2 linked regions of the Bombyx mori genome follow. The protein of the gene in region 1 interacts with the protein of each later gene in a pairwise test. Links are inferred from orthologs where the notes say so. Each region holds a gene or a part of one and is shown in the gene's direction. Other genes may lie near its edges.

The links.
Region 2: the proteins of vam6/Vps39-like protein (region 1) and proteasome subunit beta type-5 interact in a two-hybrid assay, tested with the Caenorhabditis elegans proteins (2 studies listed by BioGRID). The link is inferred for Bombyx mori from reciprocal best matches to the Caenorhabditis elegans genes vps-39 and pbs-5.

Annotation. Positions count from the first base shown.
Region 1 is NC_085124.1:8,461,685-8,465,061, reverse strand, and holds the end of vam6/Vps39-like protein, read left to right. Parts: intron 1-507; coding exon 508-642; intron 643-1,107; coding exon 1,108-1,263; 3' UTR 1,264-2,612; downstream 2,613-3,377. UniProt on the Caenorhabditis elegans protein: Plays a role in vesicle-mediated protein trafficking to lysosomal compartments including the endocytic membrane transport and autophagic pathways.
Region 2 is NC_085126.1:4,546,336-4,550,927, reverse strand, and holds proteasome subunit beta type-5, read left to right. Parts: upstream 1-1,595; 5' UTR 1,596-1,842; coding exon 1,843-1,986; intron 1,987-2,062; coding exon 2,063-2,164; intron 2,165-2,338; coding exon 2,339-2,438; intron 2,439-2,637; coding exon 2,638-2,831; intron 2,832-3,781; coding exon 3,782-3,920; intron 3,921-4,351; coding exon 4,352-4,524; 3' UTR 4,525-4,558; downstream 4,559-4,592. UniProt on the Caenorhabditis elegans protein: Component of the 20S core proteasome complex involved in the proteolytic degradation of most intracellular proteins. This complex plays numerous essential roles within the cell by associating with different regulatory particles.

The DNA of each region.
Region 1 (3,377 bases):
ATTTACGGACACTTTACTCATTTGGGTTTATGCCTAAAATTAAATATTTATAAATATTTTACTGGTGATAGGACGTCTTATGAGTCCGCACGGGTAGGTACCACCACCCTGCCTATTTCTGCCGTGAAGCAGTAATGCGTTACGGTTCGAAGGGCGGGACAGCCGTTGTACTGTAAAAATTTAGATAGAACTCGTATCTCAAGGTAGGTGGCGGTATTTACATATCTATGGTTTCTGGTCACCACTTAACACCAGGTGAACCGTGAGCTCGTCCAGACACCTAAACTATAAAAAATACTCATTACTGTCAGCAATTTTACCTGTAGTCGCATCAGCTTAGGTCAGCTTCGTCATTTCTGATGTCCTCGTGAGACATGTGAGACATAGAAGTTTAAATATAAATGTAGTTAACTCAAAATACATTCGGCCTTTTTGCATCTTGTTAAAAATTATGTTGACTAATAATAGTATCGTTGTGGTATTACTGTATTGAATGTTGTTTCTCAGGCACTCGCAGTATTACCAGATTCGGTGCCGCTTAGCCGATTGAAACACTTTCTGGAAAGCTCATTAGAGGCTCAACTCACGTTGAAACGGAGAATGCAAATACTCAAAGGACTGTTGTATGCGGAACATATGCAGGTAATGCCTAATGCCTATTTCATCTTTAACTATACAAAAGAGAAGCTTCCGTGGTCTACACGGCGAGGCGTCCCGTGACGTAATTATGTACATAATACTGTAATCATCAATAGTATAGGTTGCAAATGGGTACGGCTCTGTACATAGGAATTGTTATTATAATTGAAATGCTCCACTTTGCAGTGTCTCTGTATTTTGGTAAATGTTCGAAGTTCTTAATGTACTCTATCGAGCAATGCGACCATGCCGGTGATCCAATCCCGCAGGCAACATTTCGGCCGCGAACCAATTATGCGTTTCGGTCCGATAGGCGGAATAACTTATATCCAATACAATTGAAACTTCGGCCTCATTCATGAACAGTGAAAGGTTCACCTGTGCGGGTTATTGAAAAAAAAAAAAGAAGTATCCTGCGACTGGGTGATCTTCAACCCTGTGGTAATAATAACAAATTGTATGTTTTAGGTCCAAGAGCTGAAGCATTACCACGAATCAAAGAGTGTTGTTATAAACGACTACGACGTGTGTCAAGTTTGCAAGAAGCGCTTCGGTCATCAGAGCGCGTTCGTGCGTTATCCAAACGGTGACATTGTTCATTATTCGTGTAGAAGCGATAAATAGAATGTTACCGGCGTTTACCTAATGAATATGAAATGAATTTCAGAACTGCTCTTCGTTTATTGATAGACTCTTTTTTGTTTTTGTTTTTTTTTTTTTGCGAAGTCATTCGCGATCATTCAGCCTGCCTGAGAATTATTGGCCAGCCAAACTGCTGTCTACCGCATAGGAAATAATTTGAAAGAAAACTCATTAGCAGAGCCAAATGCCTGATAGCTCTGAATAGATCTGGCATTGGATGATCGCTATGGTTACCGGTGATGGTGGCGAACTTTGCTTCGGAGGCAAGCGATATGATGGTGAAAAATACAATATTATTTCCATCAATTCGTTAAAGCTCTACCAAAATTTAAAATGATGTTCAAAGCAAACAATATAATATAATTATTTGTTACGAAAATATTTATTTTTGATATGTCTCTACTGTGATAATATGATTGTTAACTTATTCCGCGAGTTGTAAGTAATTCGTGACAGAAATTACGTTCAGAATAAAATGTTCGTTAACTTAGGTTAAATTTAAAATGAAACATCTATCATTGAACTAAGAACAGTTTTGTAATATTGTCAACGTCGATATGGTATCTCGTTGGTGTAAAAATGTTTAAATACGCAACGAATTGTAACGAGAGTTGCTGCCTCTAATTTGATAAAAGAGAAAATCGACTATTTTCCTTCGTGATAATATATAAAGAGAATGCAATAATACATTTTATTTAATAATAATATATTGTGAATGAGTTTTTGTATAATATGGCTATGATTTAGAAATTTTATTCAGTTTTCTAGCATCCGTCAAACGCATTATGTACACTCATATATAGTGCGTTTCATATAAGAACGTGCAAGTCAATGACCTTGATCTGTCAAAGTTCGATAAAAAATTACGGACAGCAACAAAAAATTTTTTTTCTATATTTTAGTGAATTTTTTGCCTAATTATGAAGACTATTAATATGTTTGTTTTAATAAACCATACACTCTATATAATTTTCTTGATATGATGAGTACTGGTCGAGGTAAATTAAGCATGAATTTAGATTATATAAGAAAAAACACACCTATTTAAAAATCAAGGCTGCAACACTGTCGGGCTCTATTATCTGTCGATGGGCGACGATGATGATGATTACTGAAGCAGTGAGATGAGTGGAATCGGCAAACTCAAAGATTTGGATTAAAAAATAATATTTAAAAATTCCCACCTTTTTGACTGACTTTACTTATTTTTTTCGATTTGACAGCTGTCACAATATAGCGCAGGTCCATGCACATTCTTATTTGAAACGCATTATAAATAAATAGAATTATAGTTTTATTTAAAAGAAGTAAAATTATTTTCAATTTGATTATTCGATTGTATTATTTTGATAATTCCCGTGAATACACTTGAGTAATATTTTTTTGGCACAGACGGGCGAACGAGCTCATTTATATATTAATACGTGAAGCAAAAACTTTGTATCCCTTTTTAAGAAAATTGCGCGAACGGAGGAGTATGAAATTTTTCACACTTATAGAGAATATAGAGAAGAAGTGCACAACGCTAATATTTTTTTAAAATAATGCATAAAAGATAGATTAAATAAATAAAGAAAACATTACACACACTACATACCATGTATTTGACGCACACACGCATGCATACTATTTATTGTCAAACTTTTGTTCTTGACGTCTGTTGTCAAATTGAGAATAGAATATGGTTTGTCTTTGTTAATATTTCTTATAGTGTAGTCTTGGCGAAATTCGTGAATATAGAAGTATAAAATACAATCATAATAGTGTACAAACTTACAATTCCAATTAATTATAGTCGAATTTCGACTACTGCGGGACCTCTAGTTAGTATAAATACTGTCACTTTAAATGAAATCGCGTGACTGCTTCACGGTAGAAACGGGTAGGATAGTGGTACCGTTTTTTTATCGCAGTTAAGCGCCTCTAAAGAACTAGTGGGAGAGGTTGCGGATAGAAGTTCTCGCCTTCTTCCAATTGATCCTAAGAGATTACGCCTTTAGAAAGGCGCGCAAAACTCGCCCTACAGAACCTACTATCGACTGAACCCCAACGAGCTCCACTTTTCAGAGAGGTTTTTTTTTGTTTTGCTTAGATGT
Region 2 (4,592 bases), on another chromosome or scaffold:
AAAACAAATGTACACAAGGTTTACAGGTAGGTTCTAAAACAAAACATAACCTAAAAGACTGATCTATACAGTAAGCATTGTCTCCACAAATCTAGTGTTATCTTCATAACAGCAATATATTATGTATATTTTTTTTCTTAGATGGATGGACGAGCTCACAGTCTACCTTTTGTTAAGTGGTTACTGGAGCCCATAGACATCTACAACGTAAATGCGCCATCCACTTTGAGATATAAGTTCTAAGGTCTCAAGTATAGTTACAACGGCTGCCCCACCCTTCAAACCGAAACGCATTACTGCTTCACGGCAGTAATAGGCAGGGTGGTGGTACCTACCCGTGCGGACTCACAAGAGGTCCTACCAGCAGTAATTACGCAAATTATAATTTTGCGGGTTTGATTTTTATTACACGATGTTATTCCTTCACCGCGGAAGTCAATCGTGAACATTTGTTGAGTACGTATTTAATTAGAAATATGCAGTTTTTATGTACATCTCTCGTCAATTTCATATTAAGTAGAATCGATCGTCGTTCTCAAAGAAATATCTTGCATGTGTACTTTTTATACAATTTGACATTTACCTACATTACTTGCCTAGATAACAAATCAAAATTTCGCAATAAAAGAAGGGTTAATATTTTCTTGCTCCTAGCGGTTTTTAGATTAAATTGACGAGCTATTTATGTTTCATCGTAACATTTCGAACACGCTGATTGCAATATAATGCTCTTTATTCTTATCTTTTTTTCTATCTTTAAACACTACGAAGACTTCTTTCTTCTCCGTGGTCAAACAAAATAATTCACGAATATGAAACACATATTTAACAGATTCATTAATTTCGAAATCTTCAAGGTAAATTTACATTATATTGCATACAGTTTCCGAACACTTACATTCGGATCGCCGGTCTACCAAGCATTTCACCCGCTCAGTAATCTTTAGTAAAGAAATCTTTCCTCTGTTGTTATCGCCAAAAGTTCATGCCCCACCTGGTATTACTGGTAGCAGGCAATTTTTTTCTAAATTTCATGTATTTCAATGGAAATTTAGATAGATTAGTATAGTAAGATGTAATCAATGTAAAATATAAATAACTTCCAAAAATGATTGCGTGTGATTACTTGCTCACCCAGATTTTAGAAAACTTGGCAATCTGGAGCAAAATGTTTATGAACAGAAAAATATTGCAAAGGACTTAATCTTATACAATACGGACGTGAGCTCGATCACCTCTCTAGGAATAAAAACAAATAATTCAAAATAAAAAGTAAGCTACCTGTAATAAAAGTGTGGTTTTCTATTTAAAAGGATACTCATAGTTTTATCAATAATTCGCACTTACCCCCATTATCTATCTACATACTCTACCTGTCTACTTCAAGATATCTTTGACATTTATTTCCAGTTTTAAAACCATACAATCTTGCAAAAATGCAAAATTTCATCCATGACTGCCATCTACCGACGAATAGCTGTCATATGATAACTTTCTACCAGCCTGTATTGGAAGATTTCAAGTGTACTGTATTCATATATTTAAAATTGAAACTACCATGGTGTATTTAAAATAAATGTTGTTTCTCAGTTGTCTACTATCATTAAAAAAATGTAAGACTTCGTTTCCATATTGAAAATGTATGTTTCTCACAAATATTATGTGTAAGCTATGCTAAGCACACTTGTGCTGCTGTCATCTCAAATAAATTAAGTGTATGCTGCTGTCAATTTGAAATTGTCAAATGTCAAACGATAGCTGCGTTTGTCAAATCGGCGTTTTCGAAAATTTCGCTTGTCATTCATTCATCAAGACTTTATTGAAAACAGTTTTAAACAAAAAATGGCTCTACTCGATTTCTGCCGTTTAAATGAAAAAATTAACTTGAAACCCGTTGATTCTCTAGCATCATTCAATAATGACATTACCGGCTACAGTGAAAACTTTGTAAACAGCGCTCAGCTCGCTTCTCCCCCATTTGCGAATGTAAGTAATGTAATTAAATAGAAGAATAAAACATTTTATTTTATTTATAATAATTAAAATATATTACACCTTACAGCCTGCTGAAACCTTAGCACACTTCAACACAAAGGATGAGACTGGAAAGGAAATCAAAATTCAGTTTGACCACGGCACCACCACTCTTGGTTTCCGATACAAAGTGAGTTCATAATTTAATATGAAGTTCTTTCAAACTAAGTATTATTAATTTATATTGCAACCCATATATAAATATATATTATTTATAGAATACTCGTTAAATATAAACTTGCTAACAAAAATACTACCATTCTTTCATTTTATATCTTACTGATGTAAAAGATTATTTTTTCAGGGAGGAGTCTTATTAGCCGTCGACTCTCGAGCTACAGGTGGCCAATTTATTGGTTCTCAATCCATGAAGAAAATAGTAGAAATCAACGACTATTTGCTTGGTAAGCATTAAAGTTTCTAGAGCATAACTGTTTACTTAGACAAAAACAAAAATAATGGAGTTTTAGTTTTACCAAAATGAGATTCCAATGAAATAAAAAAATAGGTTTCTTTAATATCTTTTGCTATGAAAACATTTTTGATCGCTCATGAATTCAATGAAATTCTTGAAACAATTAATAATAAAATAATGTTTATCAGGTACTCTCGCTGGTGGTGCAGCAGACTGTGTCTACTGGGACAGAGTACTCGCAAAGCAATGCCGTCTCTATGAGCTTCGGAATAGGGAGCGTATTTCTGTAGCAGCAGCCAGTAAACTCATGGCTAACATGGTGTACAACTACAAAGGAATGGGCCTCAGCATGGGAATGATGTTAGCTGGTATTGACAAGAGAGTAAGTTGTTAATAAGACCACTAGTAGGTACTTACTACTGCCAAACTCTAAATTGATATTAAGAAAATGTTTTTTTGTCCCCAAGAATTGGAAAAAAATTGTCCACATTGATCTCTATTATGAACTTCTCACCACCAATTGTGTCTTGACTGTGTCAAACATATTCATCCTAAATAGTCCTGGCAATACATTGTATTGTTTTTTTTTAAATGTTGAGACAAGTGAACAAACTCATTGTGGGCCACGATGTTAAGTAGTTATTGAAGCCTATAAATGCCGCTAACTCATTTTGAGACATGAGGTTTAAATCTGTTTTATTAATGGCTGCTCCACTCTTCAAACTGAAATTAATTACTGCTCTACAGCAGAAATAGGTTCTGTGATAGTACCTACCCATACAGGCTCACAAGACAATACAATCTTTTATAATATGCTTTTTATGCAATTTAGACTTTCAGCTTTCGGTTTTTTCAATCCATAATTTAAAAAAAGCATACTTAAAACAAGTATTTTGTAGTTTCAAATTATATAAGCGAGTATTTTTGAAAATATGTTTATATGTTTTTGAAATAGAGTCTAATTGGGTCAAAAACTTTTGGCCGAGTTGTTAATTAAATTTATTGATCATTGATTGCTCATAGTATATATGAGTCGACTAGTATCAAAGCCGGCAATGTGACTTTTGGACAATTACTGGTAAATCAGAAAAACGAATTATTGACTTTGTATTCCATTGGCAGTCACAAAACTCTTCTGAACGACATCTTAGATAAATAACAGGTTAAGTATTAACCTTTATTTAATGCAGGTTTTGAACCGTATTCTTTGCAGGAGACGATTATATTCAAATCAATCTGTATTGACATATCAATAACATTTTTTTGTCCAAATGCACAGATTGCCACCTTTGATAATAGACGACTCATATAAGTATTTTTCATTTAATCCAGGGAGCACAACTATACTATGTAGACAGTGAAGGTACTCGCACTCCAGGCAAGGTGTTCTCAGTGGGCTCAGGTTCTGTGTATGCTTTTGGTGTACTTGACTCTGGATACAGCTGGGATCTGTCAGATGAGGACGCACAAGGTTTGTATTATTTTATTCATAACTAGCTGACCTCAATCGATAAATAAAAGACCTAAGCTTTTGTATAAAATAAACAAAAGGAATCGGTCTGATGGGGGACACATCAAAGGGAAAACGAAATTATTATTTTTATTTAATTCTGAGCATTTACATATTTATACACCTTTTAAACCTTCTCTGGACTTCCACAAATAATTTAAGGCCAAAATTAGCCAAATCGGTCCTGCCGTTTTCGAGTTTTAGCGAGACTAACAAACAACAACTCATTTTTACATATAGAGATATATATTTTTATGCTGAGACAGCTGTTATTTGATTTGTACCGTTCTGCAGCAAAAATATTTAGGGTGTTCTTACCATTCTAGTTTGTTAAGGACCTTAGGCTGCTGTTACCACTACATCTGTTATCCATAAGTTCCATCATTTATTAGAGCTGGGTCGACGTGCGATTTACCACGCTACTCACCGCGACGCGTACTCTGGCGGGATCATAAGAGTGTACCACATCAACGACAAGGGTTGGGTCAACATCTCCAACGAGGATTGCTCCGACCTCCACTACAAGTACCAAGCAGAGAAGGGCATCAAGGATGATCAGTTTTAAATTGTTTTTGTATAAGAAATAAAATGTATTTGTATTTTATGAGTTTTATTGGCGTTGACATACACGAG